3 linked regions of the Schizosaccharomyces pombe genome follow. The gene in region 1 interacts genetically with each later gene. Each region holds a gene or a part of one and is shown in the gene's direction. Other genes may lie near its edges.

The links.
Region 2: mutations in atd1 (region 1) and slx4 impair growth when combined (synthetic growth defect), as found in Schizosaccharomyces pombe (2 studies listed by BioGRID, with this or other methods).
Region 3: mutations in atd1 (region 1) and fml1 impair growth when combined (synthetic growth defect), as found in Schizosaccharomyces pombe (one study listed by BioGRID).

Annotation. Positions count from the first base shown.
Region 1 is NC_003424.3:4,451,471-4,458,111, reverse strand, and holds atd1 (aldehyde dehydrogenase), read left to right. Parts: upstream 1-2,454; 5' UTR 2,455-3,040; coding exon 3,041-4,552; 3' UTR 4,553-4,832; downstream 4,833-6,641. Other genes in the region: ATR checkpoint kinase regulatory subunit Rad26, read right to left, coding at 5,043-5,471, 5,527-6,192, 6,248-6,641.
Region 2 is NC_003424.3:3,116,035-3,122,236, reverse strand, and holds slx4 (structure-specific endonuclease subunit Slx4), read left to right. Parts: upstream 1-3,063; 5' UTR 3,064-3,236; coding exon 3,237-3,290; exon of another isoform or gene 3,291-3,374; coding exon 3,375-4,580; 3' UTR 4,581-5,357; downstream 5,358-6,202. Other genes in the region: protein Rng10, read left to right, coding at 1-2,858; glutathione S-transferase Gst3, read left to right, coding at 5,442-6,170. UniProt on the Schizosaccharomyces pombe protein: Regulatory subunit of the slx1-slx4 structure-specific endonuclease that resolves DNA secondary structures generated during DNA repair and recombination.
Region 3 is NC_003424.3:1,467,845-1,477,120, forward strand, and holds fml1 (ATP-dependent 3' to 5' DNA helicase), read left to right. Parts: upstream 1-2,989; 5' UTR 2,990-3,215; coding exon 3,216-4,664; intron 4,665-4,709; coding exon 4,710-5,539; exon of another isoform or gene 5,540-5,595; coding exon 5,596-5,821; 3' UTR 5,822-5,847; coding exon of another isoform or gene 5,848-6,041; 3' UTR 6,042-6,094; coding exon of another isoform or gene 6,095-6,261; 3' UTR 6,262-6,308; coding exon of another isoform or gene 6,309-6,368; 3' UTR 6,369-6,419; coding exon of another isoform or gene 6,420-6,497; 3' UTR 6,498-6,536; coding exon of another isoform or gene 6,537-6,560; 3' UTR 6,561-6,615; coding exon of another isoform or gene 6,616-6,695; 3' UTR 6,696-7,064; coding exon of another isoform or gene 7,065-7,205; 3' UTR 7,206-7,255; coding exon of another isoform or gene 7,256-8,055; 3' UTR 8,056-8,103; coding exon of another isoform or gene 8,104-8,263; 3' UTR 8,264-8,431; downstream 8,432-9,276. Other genes in the region: Tf2-1 (retrotransposable element/transposon Tf2-type), read left to right, coding at 1-2,004; SPOM_SPAC9.06C (5'-methylthioribulose-1-phosphate dehydratase), read right to left, coding at 5,848-6,041, 6,095-6,261, 6,309-6,368, 6,420-6,497, 6,537-6,560, 6,616-6,695; SPOM_SPAC9.07C (GTPase Rbg1), read right to left, coding at 7,065-7,205, 7,256-8,055, 8,104-8,263. UniProt on the Schizosaccharomyces pombe protein: ATP-dependent DNA helicase involved in DNA damage repair by homologous recombination and in genome maintenance. Capable of unwinding D-loops. Plays a role in limiting crossover recombination during mitotic DNA double-strand break (DSB) repair.

The DNA of each region.
Region 1 (6,641 bases):
TTATGTGTTTGAATTTACAAATTTCAGTGATCTTCGCTATCTTGACAAGTTGCACAATGGAAATTGGCACTGCGACCATGAGTAAAATAGTTTGAATTTCATTTCCAAATTTAGTTGCGATGTTTGCGAACAAATTACTGAGTGATTTGAATGTAGAGCAAAGATGATTAGTTAGAAGAAACAGATAGAGGGAAAAAAGAGAAGAGTTAATAATTGAAATAAAATAAAAATAAAAAAAGGGAAATAAGAAAGCAAAAAAAAAAATTTTATTAGCTCTTGAAAATGTGGATGAAGCACTTCCAAATAGTAAAATTTGATTAGGTAAACAAACCGAAAAGAATAAAATGAATGCCACCGAAAAAAAAAATGTATGCAAAAAAAAGAACAACAAATGGAAACGAAAAAGATTTTCTAAAGCAATATCAAGAAAAATTTTTTAATTCATTCTAGTCTTCCTTAATCAGCGTCGCATTTCGCATATTCAATACTTTCTTTCATTTTCCTTTGTTGCATGCTTTATACCATAGCAGGTTATGCACTAATCACATGGACTATAAACGAAGACAAATGTCCGAAGGTGGTCAAAGTGCGAACCGCTTAACGAACCTTAACACAACAGTGTCAAGAGAAAGCTTCGCATGTTGAAAATTTTAAAAAGACGCAGAAAGGATACTTTTGCAGTAGCAGCAATAGGTCGACCAAAATACTGGCTCATAGAAAGTAGTAGTATTATATTTATGATGCTAAAGAGGTTGCTAATTAGGATGCAAGCGATGGGAATATCAAAGAAATGTAATAAAGAGTAGTAGGGACAAACACTCAAGAAATAGAATTTTATTTTATTTTTTTATATTTTATTTTTCTTTAGTAACAAATGGAACTCTGGTTCGTTAAGTGAAAACAAAAAAAAAAGACACGTTGGCATAAAATCGACTCACATTCATCAATCAAGACCAACTTTGAAACACATTATACTGCTACTACTACTACTACATTACAACCGTTGTGTTTTTGTTTTACAACTACCAATCCAGTCAATCCCCCACATAGACCAAAATCTCCCACACACGTGAACCCCAGTCCAAGTCTTCACCAGTCCCCTCCATCCCACCCTTTCCTAGTCTTAACGCTCACCCTACCCCCATAAGGATCGAAATCCCCCACTTTGCGACTTTCAAAGTACTGGGCGGAAACTGGCGTAGCTAATGTCTAAGATGTCAGCGTAGGTGGCGAATTTTAGTGTCTCGGGTATATCTGTTTACACAAGCGTTTGCTACTATTACCAATTCCTAAATACAGAATAATGGTTTAACCAACCGCTCGATAAACTCTGTTTCCCATTTTTTTACTCTCATCGCTTGGCCATGATTCGCTTCGCATGCATTAAAGTAATTACGGCACATTGACGTAATAAACCTTATTTTGAGGTCGTACGAAAAGAGCCCAACTCCTCGCGGCCGTAGTGGACGTGCGGGTCAACAAACCAAACTAAACAAACGCTATCAGAAGATTAAAGTTTCTTTTGTTATGCATATGTATGAAATCCCACTTTTGTTTGTGTATCAACGTTTATGCTTGGTTATTCAACGTAATGGCTTATCTACGTTTATGCTTTCCATTCATTTATCCACGTTAAATGCCGCACGTAACGTACCATGATAAGAGATGTTTTGGTAGGGAAAATTCAAAGGGCCCAGGGCCGAACTTCTCGTGTTGATGGGGCAGGAACGTGTGAGAAGGGAATTCGCCATAAAGCAGAGAATACTAACAGTTACCAGTGGGTCGAAGCTAACAAAACCAACAAGTTGAGCAAAGCAAATGAAAAGCGAGTTTGGGATTTTCGGAGAGCGAAAGAACATGGGGTTTCCTGCGAAAATGACCCATTTTGACTAGATTAGCCCAAGGTGCTCCCATTTTCTCAGCGCATCGCATTCTTTGGGAAATAAGAGAAGGAAGAAAATTTAAGAAGCGAAAGCGCACTATGCAGATGGCGCTAGAAGTTGCTTTGCTTTTTGCTACTAGACTAGACTAGGTTGGCTGGCATCGGAGTTTCAACGTCGTTCGTCTTTCATCGTTCCTCGTTTGTTAATATCAAATTTTCGATATAGTGAATTGTATTTCCGAGTATGCAATTCCCTCTAAAGCATATTACTATTGCACAGTGAGATTTGGGAGGGAAGCTTTGCGTACGCTAGCACATATGAAATCTTGTGATTTTTGAGGGTGTCTCTTCCTTTGATTCGCCAAAATTAAGCATTGACATCATGGGGTAAGGTGTCCTGTTTTGTCATTCGTCGTTGTTTGAATTAGATCATGTATAGGAAATCATTCGTCCAGGTGTCGGTCTTTTGTGTCACCATTAATCAGTAGGAGTTGGAGCTTTGTTTACTAATCATCGTATAAGTCATATATGATTTTTACTATAAATATTGAATTCGCCCCCCTTTGCAGTTCACTGAAATAAGTAGAACAGCACGGTCTTTTCGTTTCTACAACACGCTTGCTATTCTCTTATTAGTATATTCCTCTATCTATAGTCTTTCCTTCACTTCCTACATCCAAATTGATATAGGTTTCCTTTGTGGTATTATTACTAACAACGACAATTGATTGTTTTAATTCATTGATTTTGTCGTCTTTCGGTTTTTATCACATTTTATAAAAACTGCATCCCCCTCTTCTTAAGAATAATAAGAGGCCATTGTTTATTTACCCCGGTCCTTTTCTGACCATCTAATCTTTTCGTATTAGGTGCTCTTTTACTTATAGTTTGGTTTCGCCCATAACTTTTTGACGACGTTGTTTACTTTGGTTGATATAAAATTATTTTATACAATCGTTAACACCTCATATTTTCCATTTCATTACTGATCTTTTGGTTTTGTCCTGTGTTTGCATTTCAATTCAGCTCTGCCAAATTTATCCCACTACTTCATTTTTTATCTTTGGTTTTTTTTTTTTTCTAGTTAATTTTTTAATTACTCTTACTCATTTACGACAACGACCCCTTTTCTCAATTTTTTAATACAAACTTTTCAAAATGTCTACAAAACTCGTTGATCACGTCGAAATTACCGTTCCTACAGGAAAAACTTACATTCAACCTGTCGGTCTCTTTATCAATAACCAACATGTCGATTCCGTTCACGGTGGTCGTGTGAAGGTTTACTCTCCTTCTACTGAGAAACTTATTTGTGAGGTAGCTGACGCCGACGAAGAGGATGTCGATATCGCCGTGAAAGTTGCTCGTGCCGCTTTCCAGACCGATGCTCCATGGCGCAAGTTTTCCAGCGCTCAACGTGGACGTTGCCTCTCCCGTCTCGCTGACTGTATCGAGCAAAACTTGGAATACCTCGCTTCTATTGAGACTCTTGACAATGGTAAGAGTATCACTTTGGCTAGAGGTGACGTTCAAGCTGCTGCCGATTGTTTCCGTTATTATGGTGGTTGGGCCGATAAGGATTATGGTCAAACCATTGAAACCGACATTAAGCGTTTTGCCTATACTCGTCACGAACCCATTGGTGTATGTGGTCAAATCATCCCCTGGAATTTCCCTTTCTTGATGTGCGCTTGGAAAATTGCTCCTGCCGTCGCTTGTGGTAATACTATTATTTTGAAGACTGCCGAACTCACTCCTCTTTCCGCTCTGTGTCTTACCAAGTTTGTTCCTGAATGTGGCTTCCCTCCAGGTGTCATCAATGTTCTCAGCGGTGATGGTCGCCGTTGTGGTAACGCTATTAGTTCTCACATGGACATTGATAAGGTGGCCTTTACCGGTTCTACCGGTGTCGGTCGTATGGTTATGCGTGCTGCCGCCTCCTCCAACCTGAAGAAGGTCACTCTTGAATTGGGTGGTAAGTCTCCCAATATTGTTTTCAACGATGCCGATTTGGACTCAGCTGCTGTCTGGACTAACTATGGTATCTTTTACAACTCTGGTCAAGTCTGTTGTGCAGGTAGCCGTGTCTACGTGCAAGAGGATGTTTACGATGAGTTCATTAAACGCATGGTTGCCAAGGCCAAGACTTTGAAGGTTGGTGATCCTTTCGCCGAAGATACCTTCCAAGGTGCTCAAGTTAGTAAGCAACAGTATGAACGTATTGTTAGTTATATTGAGAGTGGCATTGCTCATGGTGCCAAATTAGAGATTGGTGGTAAGCGTCATGGTAATCTCGGTTACTTTGTCGAACCTACTATTCTCTCCAACGTTACCGAGGACATGGCTGTCGGTAAGGAGGAAATTTTTGGACCCGTTCTTGCCGTCATTAAATTCAAGACCATCGAGGAGGCCATCCGTCGCGGTAACAACAGTACATATGGTTTAGCTGCTGGTGTACACACTAACAATATTACCAATGCCATCAAGGTCAGCAATGCTCTTGAAGCCGGTACTGTTTGGGTGAATTGTTATAACTTACTTCATCACCAAATTCCCTTTGGTGGTTATAAGGAGAGTGGCATCGGTCGCGAATTGGGCTCTTACGGTCTTACCAATTATACTCAAACAAAAGCTGTTCACATCAACCTGGGAATGGATTCTCCCATTTAAGGAAATCAGACGCAAATATTTTTTGTAAAAAAAATAAAAAAATATGCATTCAATGGATAAAGAATGAAGAAAAACTCTAGTGAAGAGAATTATTGGATTTTTCTCTTTATGTTATGAATGTTTACAGTTTTTCTTGAAACTCTTCTATGACGGATTTTCTTTATTATGAATCAAAACGGTTTTGATATTTGAACTTTCAAATGCATTTTATTGAATTTACATAGTGATGATTCTTTATGTTAGTGGTACTTTAATATATTCATTTTCGTTAATTGCTAGATGATTTTATTTGCAGGTAAATATAGCCGTAAGTTTTACTAAAAGAACGGAATGGGGATGTTTTTGTGGTACGCATTCCTTTGGGGAAACAGATTGATTTGTATTTAATTTGCGAGGATGTGGGTGCGGGACGGGAAAGAACAACACTGAAGAAACAAGTATCATTATTTCATTTGAAAAATTAGGGAAATAGATTCATCTGTTTCATTATCTAAAAATTAGTGTACAACTGCTCCAGCTCTTCGGGAGAGACGCAAACTTCCAACAATTCTGTAGTGAGAAAATACATTTCCTCACCCAAATTGCCAAACGCTTTTTGTTCAGTATCGCCGAATGCGCAGCATGCTATTGCATAAACGAAACGAGGTTGTAACGCATTTTCAGCTAACATAAATTTTGATGATAAATCTTCGGAAGATAAAATGTACAGAAGCCGAACAAGAGATACTAAAATCTCTACGCATTCATTTTGAGGGTACATTGACGAAAGGAGTTGCTGATGATACCAAGTGATGGCTAGTCCGATGCATACTATTAAGGGATTGCATACTTTTAAAATCTCTTTACCAATGTTTCCAGACATTTGTATAAACACGGTAAAAAAGGATATGACAAAGCGATGAAGCGTTATCCATTCATTCTAATTTGTTAGAAATAAGCAATGCAAAGATTATAAGCACAATTCGTAAACGTACCAATTCAGGAAAATTAATCCTTTCCCTAGTAGTAACAACTAAAATATGGGCCATAGTTGTGAAAAGTTGCATGAGTGATTCTTGGGATTTATCATCGGCATTTAACAAGTTAACTGAAGCGCAAAACGAAGGAGTGGTGGAACTAATAATTAAACAAACACCACATTTAATCAAAGAAGGAGCATTTTGCACTCGAATGCAGGATTCGAATAACGACGGATCAACCGCTTTAGTAATGTTTGCAAAGTCATCAGCACTTTCACGTGCTATAGATAAGTATAAATAAAGAAAATCTATTAAAACGTAAAACTTTGAGTCCAAAAAATTGCTTTTTTCGTATTCCTTAAGAAGAAAACCACTTATTAAAGAAACGACATTTTCCTGAAAGATAAAGGTGGATGATTTAGGGTCCAAAATTAATAATGCATTAAACAAAGATGTTATAGCAAAGGAGGCATTATATAATAATTTTTTCATTGAATAATTTAAAATCGACGATGATGTTTGAACGACAGATTGTACATAATTGGAGGAATCCATAGATAGATCGGGACTGTATATTAGAGCTTTCAAGTTATTAAACAAACATTCACCTTCCTCCTCTCCTTCAATTGTTTCTAATGAATGCATACAACCACCAAATACGTATGCTAAAGTTCTAGAAGACTAGAAAAGTAAGAAAAGGGAATAAAATTTAACACGACAGTTTAAAAATACTTACAAAATACAAATCTTCTCTTTTTTGTAGAGAAAGTAAATCTTTCATCAGGCTCAAAGACAAACTTGCATCTGATATAGCAATACTAGAACTCACACTATCCGTTGAAGCATCTTCAGCAGTAGCAACACTTGTTTTGCGCTTCTTTTTAGAAGGGCTGTTTTTTGCAGCATGCTTTGTGCTCTTAGCAAGCTGATCAGAAGAAGATAACAATTTATTGTCACCATCTTCTTCATGGGATTTTTTCATAATCGGAGAATTCTTTACATCTCTTTTCATTTTTTTCATAGTTTCGATAGCATCCTGTGCTTCACGCTCATGAAATAGGGATTTCGTTTTTGCGTATTCAATTTCTTTTTTAAGCTCCTCTAATTTCCGTTGGTATTCATCTTGCTTT
Region 2 (6,202 bases), 1.3 Mb from region 1:
GCTTTAGCGAGCAAAGTGAGAACGAGAATTATGACTTTTCATACCCTGGCACTTTTGTTTACCGAAAAGCAGCATCTAGTAGCCATGAGACGCTTGCTACTAAGGTTGTCTCCGCTGATGAAAGTGCACGGTTATGGGCCGAAAAGAGGAGATTTCTTTTACAGAAATTAGGAAAAGATCCAAATTCTAAGCCGATTGATTACAAATCTTCCATGGCATCTTCTAGCACCCGTTCATCTCAATCATCACAAGTTTCAGCCATTCAACCTCAAAGTCAAGATGATAATAGGGTCTCGGATATTCGACAAATGGAAAATCGAAGAGAGTTAAATGTAAAGAGGAGATCTGTTTCAAGTCCAGCAGAGGATCTTGCTATCCGTCCTTTAAGTTTCTCTAGGTATAAAAAGGCTGAAGAAATACCCGAGTCTTTACCTCCTATCAAGGGTAGAGATAGTTTTTCAAGTGTCAGAGAGCTCAATGAATCAAACGTATTTGCTCGTGCTCCAAATAAGAACCGATTCTCATTTGCTTCAGTTGCAGAGACTGGTAGTGGCTCCAATTTTTCCAGGGCTACCTCTTCCAGAAGTTCAAAAACTCGTAGCGTCGTATATGAACCTAATCATAGGCATACCAGCTTCTTTGGGGACACGCTTAGTAACCTATCTTCCTCGTTGAACGATAAGAAATCTCCTAATGACGATCATGCAGTACTAGATAGCGAATTAATGGAGCAAACTTTGCCGGACTCTGCCGAGGCGGTAGAAATTGCTAATAATGTGAAAGAAGATATTGTTTCTACCGCTAACGATGATGCCAATGAATTGGATAATACGAGTGAAAAAGCTACTTTGGAAACTAGTTCAAAGCCTGTTACGGAACAAGCAATTGAGCAATCTGAGGTTGTTCAAGAAGTCGAGGAGGGAGATACGAACATGACTACTAATACAATTTTGAAACCAACTGACGAAATTATTAATAAGGGTTATGCGTATTCTATAACAAGCTCACACTCGAATCATTCAAATGAGAAGTTTGAACAAATACCTAGTCCTGATGAAAAGCTTTCTCGAACAGATATTGACACTCATGTCAAGCAATTACAAACTACTAAGTCAACTGATAGCTTGTCTATTCCATTTGTTGAGTCTCCGCAGCAAAACCCAGAGGAAGAACTTTCGGACTCACTATCTAACGATTTTGGAATCGATGCTGAAAAGGAGAAGGATGAAAACCTCTCAAAACCGGAGCATCATCCATCTATAACTTCTGTAAATTCACCATTTCTTTATTCTCCTAGTAAGCAGCCCTCAGGTGAGTTGGATGAAGAAAATCTTAAACTACGATTACAAGATTCAGATGTGGATGATGAGGTAGCCACAATTCGTTCACTTAAACAAAATAATGCTACCAATTCGGAGGTTGAGACAGTTACGAACGATCCTTCTTTCTCCCAACAACCGGGTACTCATAGTCGTATTTTGCGAAATTTTGATGCTATCAGCTCTATCGATTCAATACCTGATAGCTTTTCTGACAGCGCTGTCGATTTGCCTGTCGATTCGTCAAAATATACCCTTGTTGGAAAAACTCAAAGTAATTCCAATCTACTTCAGGACAATGCTGAGAAACATATTTCAAAATCGAACCTTGAAAAAGTTGATGTGAAAGGAGATACATCACCCAATTCTGTCGAGCAAGGGATTGAACCTCAAGCTGCTTCTGTTGTTGGATCTCCACGCTCTTCTTTGGTTTCTAACAACTCCCTAGAGGAAGGAGCACTATTGAAAAACTCAGAAAGCTTGGAAAGTATCTATGGTTATCTTTCGGAGGAGCCCGATCCAGCTCTTACCAAGTTGAATACCGAAGACCCTTTTTGGACTAAGGGGTCATCTGACGATGAACATACAATAGCCTCTGTAGAACAAGACGTATATCCATATAAAACTAGTCTTCCAACTATTGTTGAAGCGACTACTTCTCACACTGAGTCAAGTAACTCAAAGGCTCCCGCAATTGAAGAAACGACAACTACAAAGGTCGAAGTGGTAGCTGCTCACGATGCAGTTTCAATATCCAGTAATTCCAGTACACATAAGTCTCACTCTGAACCATTAAATAGAGATGAGTTAGAAGTTGCTGCCTTAAGCCGTGGATCCTTGCCAGAACCTCCAAAACCCAACAAGCAAATAGTCGTTCAGGAAGAGGATCAACGAGACACACTATCTCTAAAGACAAGCACGACAGGTTTATCTTCTCATTCTAAAAGTGCTGAAAATAATTCAACTCAGCAGTCGACCACTTCTCCTAGCATTAACTCCGGTGCTTCAGCGGATGCTGTTTCTTCTGGAATTTCCAAAAAGGCTGATAATAGTGAAACTAATTTAAATTACTTTGCTACCTTAGATGCGTTTGTCAAGAGTCCATTGATGTCGTTCGATGGATTGGGTGAATTAGGTTCTACCGATCAACGTTACAACTTTTTCAATCAAAAGATTCAAGAATATTCAGCATACGATTCGGGCCTTGATAATTGGATTCAGTTTTGCTTAGAAAAAGATGGTGAGGCTCCAAAGGAAGCTCCTCCTCCTCCTCGTTCTGAGCCAGTTTCAACTACAACCAAACTTGCCAAAAGAATTACGCAGCCTTCGTTGAGTCCTGCAAGGTCAACTGTTACTATAACTCACAACATTGCTACTGAAGCAAAAAAGAAGTCTAAATCTGCTGCTAATGATATTTTACATTTGTTTAAGAAGAAAGCAAAAAGTGAACAATCAAACGCCAAGTCGTCATCTAGCTCTATCAAAGAATCCAAAAAGATGAAAACTCTTTTCGGAAAAAAATTGGGATTCAAATCATAAATCTTTTGCATACACTTTTTACCTAACTTTTTTCTCTCTTTTGTAATTTTCTAATTTATGTATTGTTTACGAAGCATTGCATTTCAATCAATAAGATTTTATCTAAATATTGTTTCATTTTCGTATTGCGCATTTTTGTGAAACCATTTAGTTATTTTTATCAGACGATGAGTTAAAATATCAAGCATATTCTGGTTTTGCTGCCACTTGTCTAAACCAAAATAAGAAACTGGACGAAAAACTTTCGACAAATTCAGGCTAGTACACAAAACAAAACAATCGAAATTAAATATTCATCATTTTTTGGGATATTCTTTCGTTTTCTTGGTGTTTTAGGATTCTGAGTACGCTGCTTTCAAGCTAAGTTTCATTAAATGGATGTCGGCTGAAGAATACATTGAGGTATCATCTTCTCCTGATATATTCACGGACGTATGAAAAAAATATGATATTCTATAGCAAATGATTAGAAATATTACATTGAACTGAAGTAAATGTATATTAACTGAGCTTTAGGATGATGACATGATAACAATAGAGCCAGAGCTAAACAAAAACCCTAAAGATTGTAATAGTAAACGAAAAAGATCTGTTACTGAATGTTGTGAAATTAGGCTGATAACTTCTAAATGTGATTTTGAGTCTACTCAACAGCTTGTGCATCACAATTGTACGGGACATAAGGTTCATGAGCACAACTTAAACGCTGTGGATGAAGAAGATTTTGATACTGAAAATCTCCCTCTTCTTTTTTCTTCCTTTAGCGACAATGAATCAGATATCTTAGAACCCGATCTTAACACTCGGGTAGCTGAAGATAATGATGTCCTTTTATCTAGATACAGCAAAATTAAAAATAGTGCTTCATGCAGAAATACTTTCGAGCACTCTGCATATCACTCAAATAGGGAAGAAATATCTTCTAGTGGTTTTTATTACCATAGGAAGCCTCAATTGTTCGAAAAATCTTTAGAGAAGTTAGGAAATAAATCAATTGAAGCCAACAGGAGTCCTCTTATAAAAGAACTTTGTGAATCGGCTAATTCTACTGAAAACGTTTGTTTTTCTGTTTCCACCGTTGATGAAATTCAGCAAAGGCATCCAAGCGCCGGTCATTCAATAGACTCAACTTGTCAGTCAAACTCGTTTCTTGAAGGCGATAGTGCTACACATAAGAAAAAAAAAACGGACAATATTAAAGAGTTTACTTCATGTGAATTTAATGACCGTAGCAGAACCCTGTTAAACTATGCCGGTTACATGGACACTAACAAAAACGCTGATAATGAAGCTAAATCATTAAAAGAAAAGTTGGAGAATTTTCCGGTTGAAAAATTACGTGCTATAGCGGAAAGTTATGGCTTCAAATCATCAGATTCGAAAGCAACTCTCATTAAGATAGTAGAATCTTGTTTGGATGCAATCGATAGCCGATCTCAGTCTAAAAAATTAGGCAAAGAAACTCCCCATGATTATTTGATAACTTCTACTAAAACAGTATTGGAGTTTGATGATATAGTGACACAGACTCATAGAGCAATTTCGCAAGTTGTTAAGCAAGCCAAAGACAATAGTGTGTGGATTAAAATTCTTACGTATTCTGCTATTGATGTGGAAGAATTTCAACTTTGGCTGAAGCGGAAAAATTTAAATGTTTCGCTAGATCTTATAAAGTCTTGGTGCGATAAGTATGGAGTACTCATGAAAGGGAGTTGGCATTAGCTAGCTAATCAGTGATTTTTGAGTGAAAATTGATGGTTTTTAAAGCAAAACAATATCATTTTTACAAAAAGATTTTGGATTTTTGAGCATCAAAATTAACAGCAAACAACCCAGCTTTAGATTTAAGTCAATTCAAGTCCTGTTTTAGATAAGAATCGTCCTTTGCAGCAGTGCTGAGGAAAAATCAAGATATCTTTTATGTGTTATAACGAGTAACATATATTATTGGAATCAAAAACTAATCATTATATCTTGCTTGGTCTTTGGAAACAGTTTGAACTGTTTGAGATAGCTTGTCTATGAACTATTTTGGAATATTCGGTATACAAATTTAGTACTATAACTTTTTTGTTAACACCACGTTTTACAAGGCAGTATACGTTGTTAACTATGAAAAAACCGTAACTCCAATTTATGTAAAATATGGCTTCTGTATTGTGATATTCAACCACTGAACTTCTTTTCATATGTCAGTCAGAATGCCAAGTAAATCCAACTGCTGCTCTTTTAGTATAAATGTACTGACTACAACAGTAAAATTGGTCTTTCATATAAATCTAGTACTGCACCTTTACAGCGGGCTCATGACGGACTAGTGATAGCAATTCAAATGAAGATGTTATTTCATTCCTATATCTACTGTATCTTTTTCTTAAGCAAACATAAAGTGTTTTGCGTATTTGTTGCATACGCCACTATATATTTCGGTGACTGACGTGCATATGAGGTGTAGACGCAGCAGCACCCATATATACATTCCAATTCCCACATACTTCCCTTCTTTGATCGAAATTATTGCATCTTAGAAAGTATTTATTTTGAGTATTCAATTTGATTTTGTTTTTATTTTTGTAACCAGATATGATTGTTTTACACCACTTAAAGAACTCTCGCTCTACTCGAATTGTATGGATGCTCGAAGAACTCAAAGTGCCTTATGAAATCAAAGTTTATGACCGTGTCGACGGACGTGCTCCCCCAGCGTATACTAAGTTGTCACCATTAGGCAAGAGTCCTATCGTTGTCGATGACGGTGTCACTTACATTGAAAGTGCAGCCATTTTGGAGCACCTGGTCAGAAAGTATGGACCGTCATTTAAACCCTCAGAAGAGGATGTTGCCGAATTGGAAAAATATGAATTATGGATGCACTTTTCTGAAGCATCTCTTATGCCATTTATTTGGGCAAGTCATGTTTTGGATCTTAGTGTGAACATGACTCCCATTTTCTTTCGTTATATTGTTCGCCAGTTTGTGAATGGGATAAAATCCAAGTATCTAAGTAAAGAAACATTTTTGAACCTTGACTACATTGATAATCACCTCGCATCGAACGAATACTTTGCAGGCGAACAGTTCACCGCTGCGGACCCGCAGATGTGCTTTCCTATATTTGCTGCTCAAAGAGATTACCTATCTCAGAAACCTTACAAAAATATTAAGCGTTGGATGCGGGTTGTCAGTGATAGGCCTGCATGTCGAATTGCTGCTGAAAAAGTTGAAGACAATACGTTGACTTTGTTTTCTGATGTGGAAAGGTACTCCCATCCCCCTACCCCTCCTCCCGAGCAAGTTCGCTCTGATGAATAAGATTTCTGCCGTGGCTCTTTTTTTCTTAAGCA
Region 3 (9,276 bases), 3.0 Mb from region 1:
AATAATCTTTTGAAAAAGGATGTACGCTGGAAATGGACACCAACACAAACCCAAGCGATAGAAAACATTAAACAATGTTTAGTTTCTCCTCCGGTGCTACGACACTTTGATTTCAGTAAAAAGATTCTACTGGAAACTGATGCTTCAGATGTCGCTGTAGGAGCCGTATTGTCTCAAAAACATGATGATGATAAATACTATCCTGTTGGATACTATTCAGCAAAGATGTCTAAAGCACAATTAAATTATAGCGTATCGGACAAAGAAATGCTTGCAATCATTAAGTCTCTCAAACATTGGAGACACTATTTAGAATCCACTATCGAACCTTTCAAAATTTTAACAGACCATCGAAACTTAATTGGTCGCATTACTAACGAATCCGAGCCTGAAAACAAACGTTTAGCTCGTTGGCAATTATTTTTACAAGACTTCAACTTTGAAATTAACTACAGACCTGGATCAGCAAATCACATAGCTGATGCCTTATCCAGAATTGTTGACGAAACAGAACCAATTCCAAAAGATTCAGAAGACAATAGTATCAACTTTGTTAATCAAATCTCGATAACCGATGATTTTAAAAACCAAGTGGTTACAGAATATACGAATGATACAAAATTGTTGAATTTACTAAACAATGAAGACAAACGAGTGGAAGAGAATATCCAACTCAAAGATGGCTTACTAATTAACAGTAAAGACCAAATCTTATTACCTAATGATACTCAGCTGACTAGGACAATTATTAAAAAGTATCATGAAGAAGGTAAATTGATTCATCCAGGCATTGAACTTCTTACAAACATTATATTACGTAGATTTACGTGGAAAGGAATAAGAAAACAAATACAAGAATATGTACAGAACTGCCATACATGTCAAATAAACAAATCTAGGAATCATAAACCTTATGGACCTTTACAACCAATTCCCCCATCAGAAAGACCTTGGGAATCTTTATCAATGGATTTTATTACAGCTTTACCAGAATCATCTGGTTATAATGCACTTTTCGTGGTAGTTGACCGATTTTCAAAAATGGCAATCTTAGTACCTTGTACGAAATCCATTACAGCAGAGCAAACAGCTCGAATGTTTGATCAACGAGTTATTGCTTATTTCGGCAATCCAAAAGAAATCATTGCAGATAATGATCATATTTTTACTTCCCAAACGTGGAAAGATTTCGCACATAAATATAATTTCGTTATGAAATTTTCGTTACCATACAGACCACAAACTGATGGACAAACTGAGCGTACAAACCAAACTGTGGAGAAATTACTAAGATGTGTATGTAGCACACATCCAAATACATGGGTAGATCATATATCCCTAGTGCAACAATCTTACAACAATGCGATACATTCAGCAACTCAAATGACACCTTTTGAGATAGTACATCGCTATTCACCAGCTTTATCACCTTTAGAGTTACCTAGCTTTAGTGACAAAACTGACGAAAACTCTCAGGAAACGATCCAAGTATTTCAAACAGTTAAAGAACACTTGAATACAAACAACATAAAGATGAAAAAGTATTTCGATATGAAAATACAAGAAATTGAAGAATTTCAACCTGGAGACCTAGTTATGGTCAAAAGAACGAAAACAGGTTTTCTTCATAAATCCAATAAATTAGCACCTAGTTTTGCAGGACCGTTCTATGTGTTACAGAAGTCGGGTCCAAACAACTATGAATTGGATCTTCCAGATTCAATCAAGCACATGTTTTCATCTACTTTTCATGTTTCTCACCTAGAAAAGTATCGACATAATTCAGAACTCAATTACGCTACCATTGATGAGTCTGATATTGGAACAATTCTTCATATCCTAGAACATAAAAACAGAGAACAAGTACTCTACTTAAATGTCAAGTACATTTCGAATCTAAATCCGAGTACTATTATGTCAGGATGGACTACATTAGCTACAGCGCTACAAGCGGACAAAGCAATTGTCAATGATTATATTAAAAACAATAATCTAAATATCTGAGAACATATGACTTATCCTCAGATTTACATAGAAAATCTTGGGGAGGGCAATGTCAGCAATACTACACTACGCTATAATACACTACGTTGAGTATCACTATATGTCACATGTTCTAATTATATATCGTACCATGTATGATACGATATGGAGATTGATCTTAATGATAATCTATTAAGATCAATATTATCTGAATACTATAAATAGAGCTACTGCTGAACCTCGTTCCTCAGTTCAGTTATGAGCTATATTAGTGATAGGTAACATTATAACCCAGTTAATACAATACCTATACTCAGTTGCTACTTATACAACCTGTGTATTGTAATATAATAGATCACAAGGAAAACTCACCGCAGTTCTACGTATCCTTAAATCAGATACCAAACTGCGTAGCTTACAATTTCATAGAAGTATGACCTTTGAACAAAATCACTATTTCACTTAATGCAGTGCTTAAATTCTTTAATTTATACTTAGTGAATCAGTAAATTTAAAATACGTTAAATGGCTTTATGGAATTTCCAAAGGAACTCTTCGAAGAGGAAATTTCAAATTATGTGATAGATTAAAGATTATGGCTATTATTCGATAAATGAGTGTTTTTTTACTCACTTGATGTGTGATATGTTACCACAAACAAAGTCCAATTTTGAAGGTACAAACATCAGAAAGTCCTGAATTCTAGCAACATTAGTCTATGTACGGACACTTTTCAACTCGTTTTACTTCATCTAGCTAATCATTTTCTTTAATCTAAGAGCCATTACATGTCTTTCTGATAGGATTTGTTCGGCTATGCTTGTTATTTGTTTATCGTATAGAGAGCGACTTATAGTGAATATATACAAAAACCATTATGATGATATACGAATTCTATATCGGTTATTAGGTGCTTCCCTAATACAATACTACACCCGCGCAATAATTCGTTATAACAAATCGTTACTGAAAAGACATGGAATATACACATTGGCAATGTAATTTTAAACATAATTAACTTCATTACTTTCTCATGAAGTTAATTGTATCTTAAACCATTTGAGGGAAAAAACTTGTCCTTTACAATTACTTCCGACAATAAAGGACGCTTTGCAGTGAATGTCTTATGGAATTGTTGTATTTGACGACTGACGAAACGAAGTACCTTAGCAAAATTCGTTTTTAAGTAATTCCAGCTAAATTTTTGCTAACAATATAAATCATTGATAAGGATGTCCGATGATTCTTTTAGTAGTGATGAAGACTGGGACGAATTGGACACCCAAGTAGTTGATAAAATTGAGAATGAATATCATAATAACACGATAGGTTTAAATGGATACTCAGTTGATGAATATTTTGATGCCAACGATTCCAATAGATATCGTCTACAACACGAGTTAGATGAAAGTGCAGCACAGCAATGGGTATACCCTATAAACGTCTCCTTTCGAGATTATCAGTTTAATATTGTCCAAAAAGCTTTATTTGAAAATGTACTTGTAGCTTTGCCAACAGGTTTAGGTAAAACATTTATTGCAGCCGTTGTGATGATGAATTATCTTCGTTGGTTTCCAAAAAGTTACATTGTTTTCATGGCTCCTACTAAACCATTGGTTACACAACAAATGGAAGCTTGCTATAAAATCACTGGAATTCCAAAGAGTCAAACTGCTGAATTAAGTGGACACGTTCCTGTTACAACTCGAAATCAGTATTATCAAAGTCGAAATGTTTTCTTCGTAACTCCTCAAACCATTTTAAACGACATCAAGCATGGAATTTGCGATCGGACTCGTATATCTTGTTTAGTAATTGATGAAGCACATCGTAGTACTGGAAATTACGCTTATGTGGAAGTTGTTCATCTACTTTCTCTTAGCAACAAAAATTTCCGTATACTGGCTCTTAGTGCTACCCCCGGAAATAAGTTAGAAGCAATTCAGAATGTAATTGATTCTCTTCATATATCCAGGATTGAGATTAGAACTGAAAACAGCATTGATATATCGCAATACGTTCAGAAGAAAGAGGTGGATTTTTTTCCTGTAGATTTGTCTGCAGAGATTACAGATATAAGAGATCGATTTTCTTCTATATTGGAACCTATGCTTCAAAAATTGAACAAGGGTAATTATTATCGAATTCAGAATGCTAAAGACATAACTTCTTTCACTGTGGTTCAAGCTAAACAAGCTTTTCTTGCAATGTCTGGTCAAAACTTTCCTGCTAATCAAAAATGGGATATTTTAAATACTTTTGATGCATTAGCGACTTTTGCCTATCCTTTAAATTTGTTACTCAACCATGGTATCCGACCGTTTTATCAAAAATTGCGAGAGGTAGAAGAAGAATGCTTTGTAGGAAGATCAGGTTATAAGAAACGCATAATAAATCACGAAAATTATCGTCCTTTAATGGACGATATAGAAATTTTGTTGCGAGATCAGTCTTTTGTCGGACATCCCAAACTAGAGCATTTGGAACGTATTGTTACAGAATATTTTGAAAAAGAACAAACCAAGGATACCAGAATTATGATTTTTGTTGAAATCCGCTCTAGCGCCGAAGAGATTTTACGATTTTTGGGTAAATTTTATCCAAATGTGAGACCAGCTATTTTTATTGGACAATCTGCTGTGAGAAAGGCTGCTGGAATGTCTCAAAAATTACAGAATGAAGTATGTAATCTGAAAATGATGGATCCTTAACTAACTAATCTCTAGACTGTGAAACAATTTCAAAAAGGTGAAGTCAATACTTTAATAGCTACCTCTATTGGAGAAGAGGGTTTGGACATAGGTGAAGTAGACATGATCATATGTTACGATGCATCTGCTTCTCCTATAAGGATGTTACAAAGAATGGGCAGAACTGGGAGAAAAAGGAAAGGTTATATTTATATGCTTTTGACGCGAGGCAAAGAAGAAGCAAAATGGGAGAGAGCCAAAGACGCTTATCGAACTTTGCAAGATAATATTGTCAGTGGTCGCGGTCTCAGCCTATCGGAAAAAAGTTATAGAATTTTACCAGAAAAGTTTCGCCCGGTTTGTGATAAACGAGTCATAGAAATTCCCAAAGAAAATGAAGAAGTTGTAGTAGCTCCAAAGAAAGTGCAATTGAGAACGAAAATAAAAAAGAAATTTTTCATGCCAGAAAATGCCTTGAATGGATTTATTACTGCGTCCGCTTTAGGTAAACCGAAACGTGCTTTAGCCAAGTCTGAAGAATCACCGTTCGAGATATGTCCCGTTACATATAGCATTGAACAAGAAAAGAAACTGGAAAAATATAAGCGTGTTTGCTTAAGAGGTTTGGATATTCATAGAAATAGGAGGTTATCTCAATTGAGTGTTACAGGACGGATACCGCATTCTCTAGCTACGAAAAGTATACATTCATTTTTAAAGCATTTAAATACTATAGATTCGCAAAAGGCTCAGGAGTGGAGAAGAGAAATAAACAACCAATTCCAAGTATCAAATATCAACTCGACGGATCGTGACACAAAACAGCCAAAGATGCATGACTTTAGACAACCTTTACACCCAAATCCGTAAGTGTTTAAACTATTGAGTTGTTTAACGATAATTACAGATTATTAACATACAGGATGACAACTTTGAAAAGGAAAGGACAACATAATTCATTTTCTTACGACAAGTCTACACTGTTTTATGACAACAACAATAATTTAGAGGAAGACCTCCCGGATGTAAATATTTCTATATCTTCAAGGAATGAAGAAGCATCCAAGACAAAACCATTTGACGACCGACAACAACGCCTTCAGCAACTCGTAGAGAAAAGGAAACGTATGAAAGGAATGCTGATTTAGAGAATTAAATAGTGTTTAGAAATAGCCTACAACGTTTTCAATTTGTAGTCTAACTCAAAAAGATATTCGTAGCATTCCATTTGAGTTTTTGATTTTTCCCATGTTGCTCCCCAACCGATAACCCCATGTCCACGAATAAGAACAGCACATGTTTGTGGATAAAGCTCGATGACTTTTTTTAGTTCATCTAATATTGTTTTACTATCGCCATTGTGGATAACTACATAATCAGTATTCAGATACCAGTCAACACCAACAGAAAACACAACTTACTAGGAACCTCTAGAGTATCAAAACAGCAAAGATAGCCTGCTGAAGGATTTCCCTTTGGAATTCCTTTGATCATTTCCTTAGATTGTGTAGTAAATTTCTCATTATACATCGATGCTCCGACTGCAGCGACTGAAGTAGAATATATACAGGCTACTGCATCCATATTACTTTTGATGTGTTAAAAATTGCTGTAAATAGAAAAAATGATGCATACCTCAAAACCCATGAGAAAATGTAGGCCCAATTGACTAAATCCTTGGTGACTGACTGATTGCTGTATAAAAGGTTAGATACTAATTGGAGCTGATCCAAATGAATAATTTACCTTAAATTAAAGGTCACGATATCGTTTTCCGTTATGAAGTCTCTTTGAACCCTGTCCTTAACGCAAATTGCATAACCACTAAATGTTAACAAAATCGTTTGAATACCGTACAATTACTTGTTCTTTAGACAAAAGTTTCCACTAAATACCAATTAGCTTTAAAAAATTACTGAACATTAAACGTCTTGAACGCTACCTGCCAAATTTCATCCATCCAAGACTGTAAAAATGAGGAATAAGTTCAAGAATCAAATTTTTCTCTAATTGGAGACTCATTCTTCTAAAATTTTCAACTTTAACCTTTAAAAGTTCCCGTACTATACTCAGAAATGATTTATTTAATGATCGGTTCTTTCAGCAAAGTGAGTAGCGTTTCATAAGTTGCGTTTGCAAATTTGATATTAAAAAGTAATTGAAGGAAGACATATGTCACAAAACACTCTACACAATCATTCATTAAGCTTATAATACACGAAAACTTTTACTTTAAAGAAAAAACAATTTGAACAAATAACGAAATAAATTACCATCTAAAATTTTAAGTCATTGTAACCCACCTATTAGAGTAACCAGTTAAATAAGTTTTCAGGCCTATATATTCCAATACTGGGAAACCAAGGAAAGTAAGATGTTAGGAAAAAAGACTTATTTTTTGACAATCGTCACTACATCCTCATCCAACAGTACATGAGATAAACCAACACGCATGCCAGGATAAGGAACGCTTTTTCCCCAAACATAAGCATGTTTAAACTGGGATTTGATACTTGAATGAATATTGTTACACTAAAGAAGTTAGCAACACGAAGATCGGCAGAAGCAATTCGAAAACTTACAAAATCCTCGACAGTAGAATGGCCAGTACGAAGGATAACAGGTTCGCTGTAATCAGGTTCAAGACCTCTAGGGCGTGTATAGACTCTAACCAAATTCAAATAGTCCCACATCGTTTCTTTAAGTTCGTCAATGTTCCAACCCCTGTTACCACAAATGGGTACGGCGTTAGGAATACGATCAATCAAATCAAGTTCTTCAATAGAAATTGAATCAATTTTATTTAACACGTAAAGTGCCGGGATATAAACGCGATTTCCTTCCAAGACATCAATCAAATCATCAATGGTGGCATCACAACGAAAAGCAATGTCAGCAGAGTTAACACGATATTCGCTGCAAACAGCACGAATTTCGTCCAAATCAATATGAGTCAAGGGGACAGTATTGGTGATATTGATACCACCACGTTCTTTCTTTTTGAATACAATGTTGGGGGGTTCCTTATTTAATCTTATACCAAATCCTTCCAATTCCTCTTCAATAATACGCTTATGAGACATTGGTTTCAATACATCCAAAACAATAAATATAAGGTTGCAAGTACGTGCAACAGTAATAACTTGTTTACCACGACCACGACCATCTTTGGCACCCTCGATAATACCAGGCAAATCCAAAATTTGAATTTTTGCACCATTGTATTGCAAAACACCCGGAACCGTTGTTAAAGTTGTAAATTCATATGCAGCGGCTTCACTTCTCGTTCCTGTAAGCTGAGTCATGAGTGTACTTTTACCGACGGAGGGAAATCCAATGAAACCTACAGTACCAATACCGGTACGAGCAACATCGAAACCAACTAAGAAAGATTAGTACTCCAAACAAAAATTTGACGTTCAGTACATACGCCCTCCACCACCTCCTCCACCGGTAGGGGTGATCAATTCACGTTTCAATTTTGCAAGCTTGGCCTTTAACATTCCCAAGTGCTTAGCCGTAGCTTTATTTTTTTGGGTTTTGGCCATTTCATCTTCAACTTCTTTTATTTTTTGCGCCGTAGTCGCCATTTTGTTTTTTTATTATATATGAAAATGCTATGAAAATGGTGAAAAGAAAATTCTATAACTAAGTACGTATAAGATCTTTTGCATTATTGAGTGCTAAGCAACCCTCTTTATTTTATATTAGTGTATTAAACCACATTACAACAGCCAAACTATTATTAAGATACCAGGTAGAATATCACGTTGGATCTCGATATTTGTTCCTTGTTGTAAGTAAATAAAAAAATATGTGAAATATTGAATCCAGTTATTCAATAGAATTTCATAAATAAATCTTTTTTCTTTTGCGTGTCTTTTTTTATGCGTTAGATCAATATAAAATATGTATGTATATAAAAAGTTGATAATTTTGTTTTGTTTTTCTTACACAATTTTAATGCAAATATTAAATAAATAAGATTGCAAAAAAGTAGTTGCTGATTGCGCAAAAGCTTGGATTAACAGTATTTTTTGATAAATAAAAAAAGAAATAAATAAATTTAGTATGTTCTAAGTCAACGGCAAATGAATTATTATTCAGGGGTTGAAGATAATGTCAGTTAACAAGGTTAATTATCGGGTCAGGGTAATAATTAAAAATTAAATAAATAAAAAATATCTGCGGCTGTTGCGTATAAACAGTAGACGGATGAGCAATTATCCCCAATAGCCTAAATACAAAATATAAGAACACATAGTAGAAACTACAAAAACATTTTTACCGGCAACAATAACCTCGTTGATATAGTGGTATTGTTGATAACTCAAAAAGCCCCAGCGTTTTGTGCGCGAAAATTATATTAATATTAACGAAAGCGAATATGCTGAATATGTATAAATCTGCAGAAGATACATATGTATCATTAATTTTTCTATGTACAATATTGTAAGCAACATAACTGATCGGAACAGGAAAAGTAGATGAGAAGAGGGAAACGGTTAGGATAGCGTGAAATTCAAGATCAATGCGAAAGAAATAAATTATAAGGGTTAAATAAGGCATAAATTAAGGAAGTCATCGAAACAAAACCTAAGAA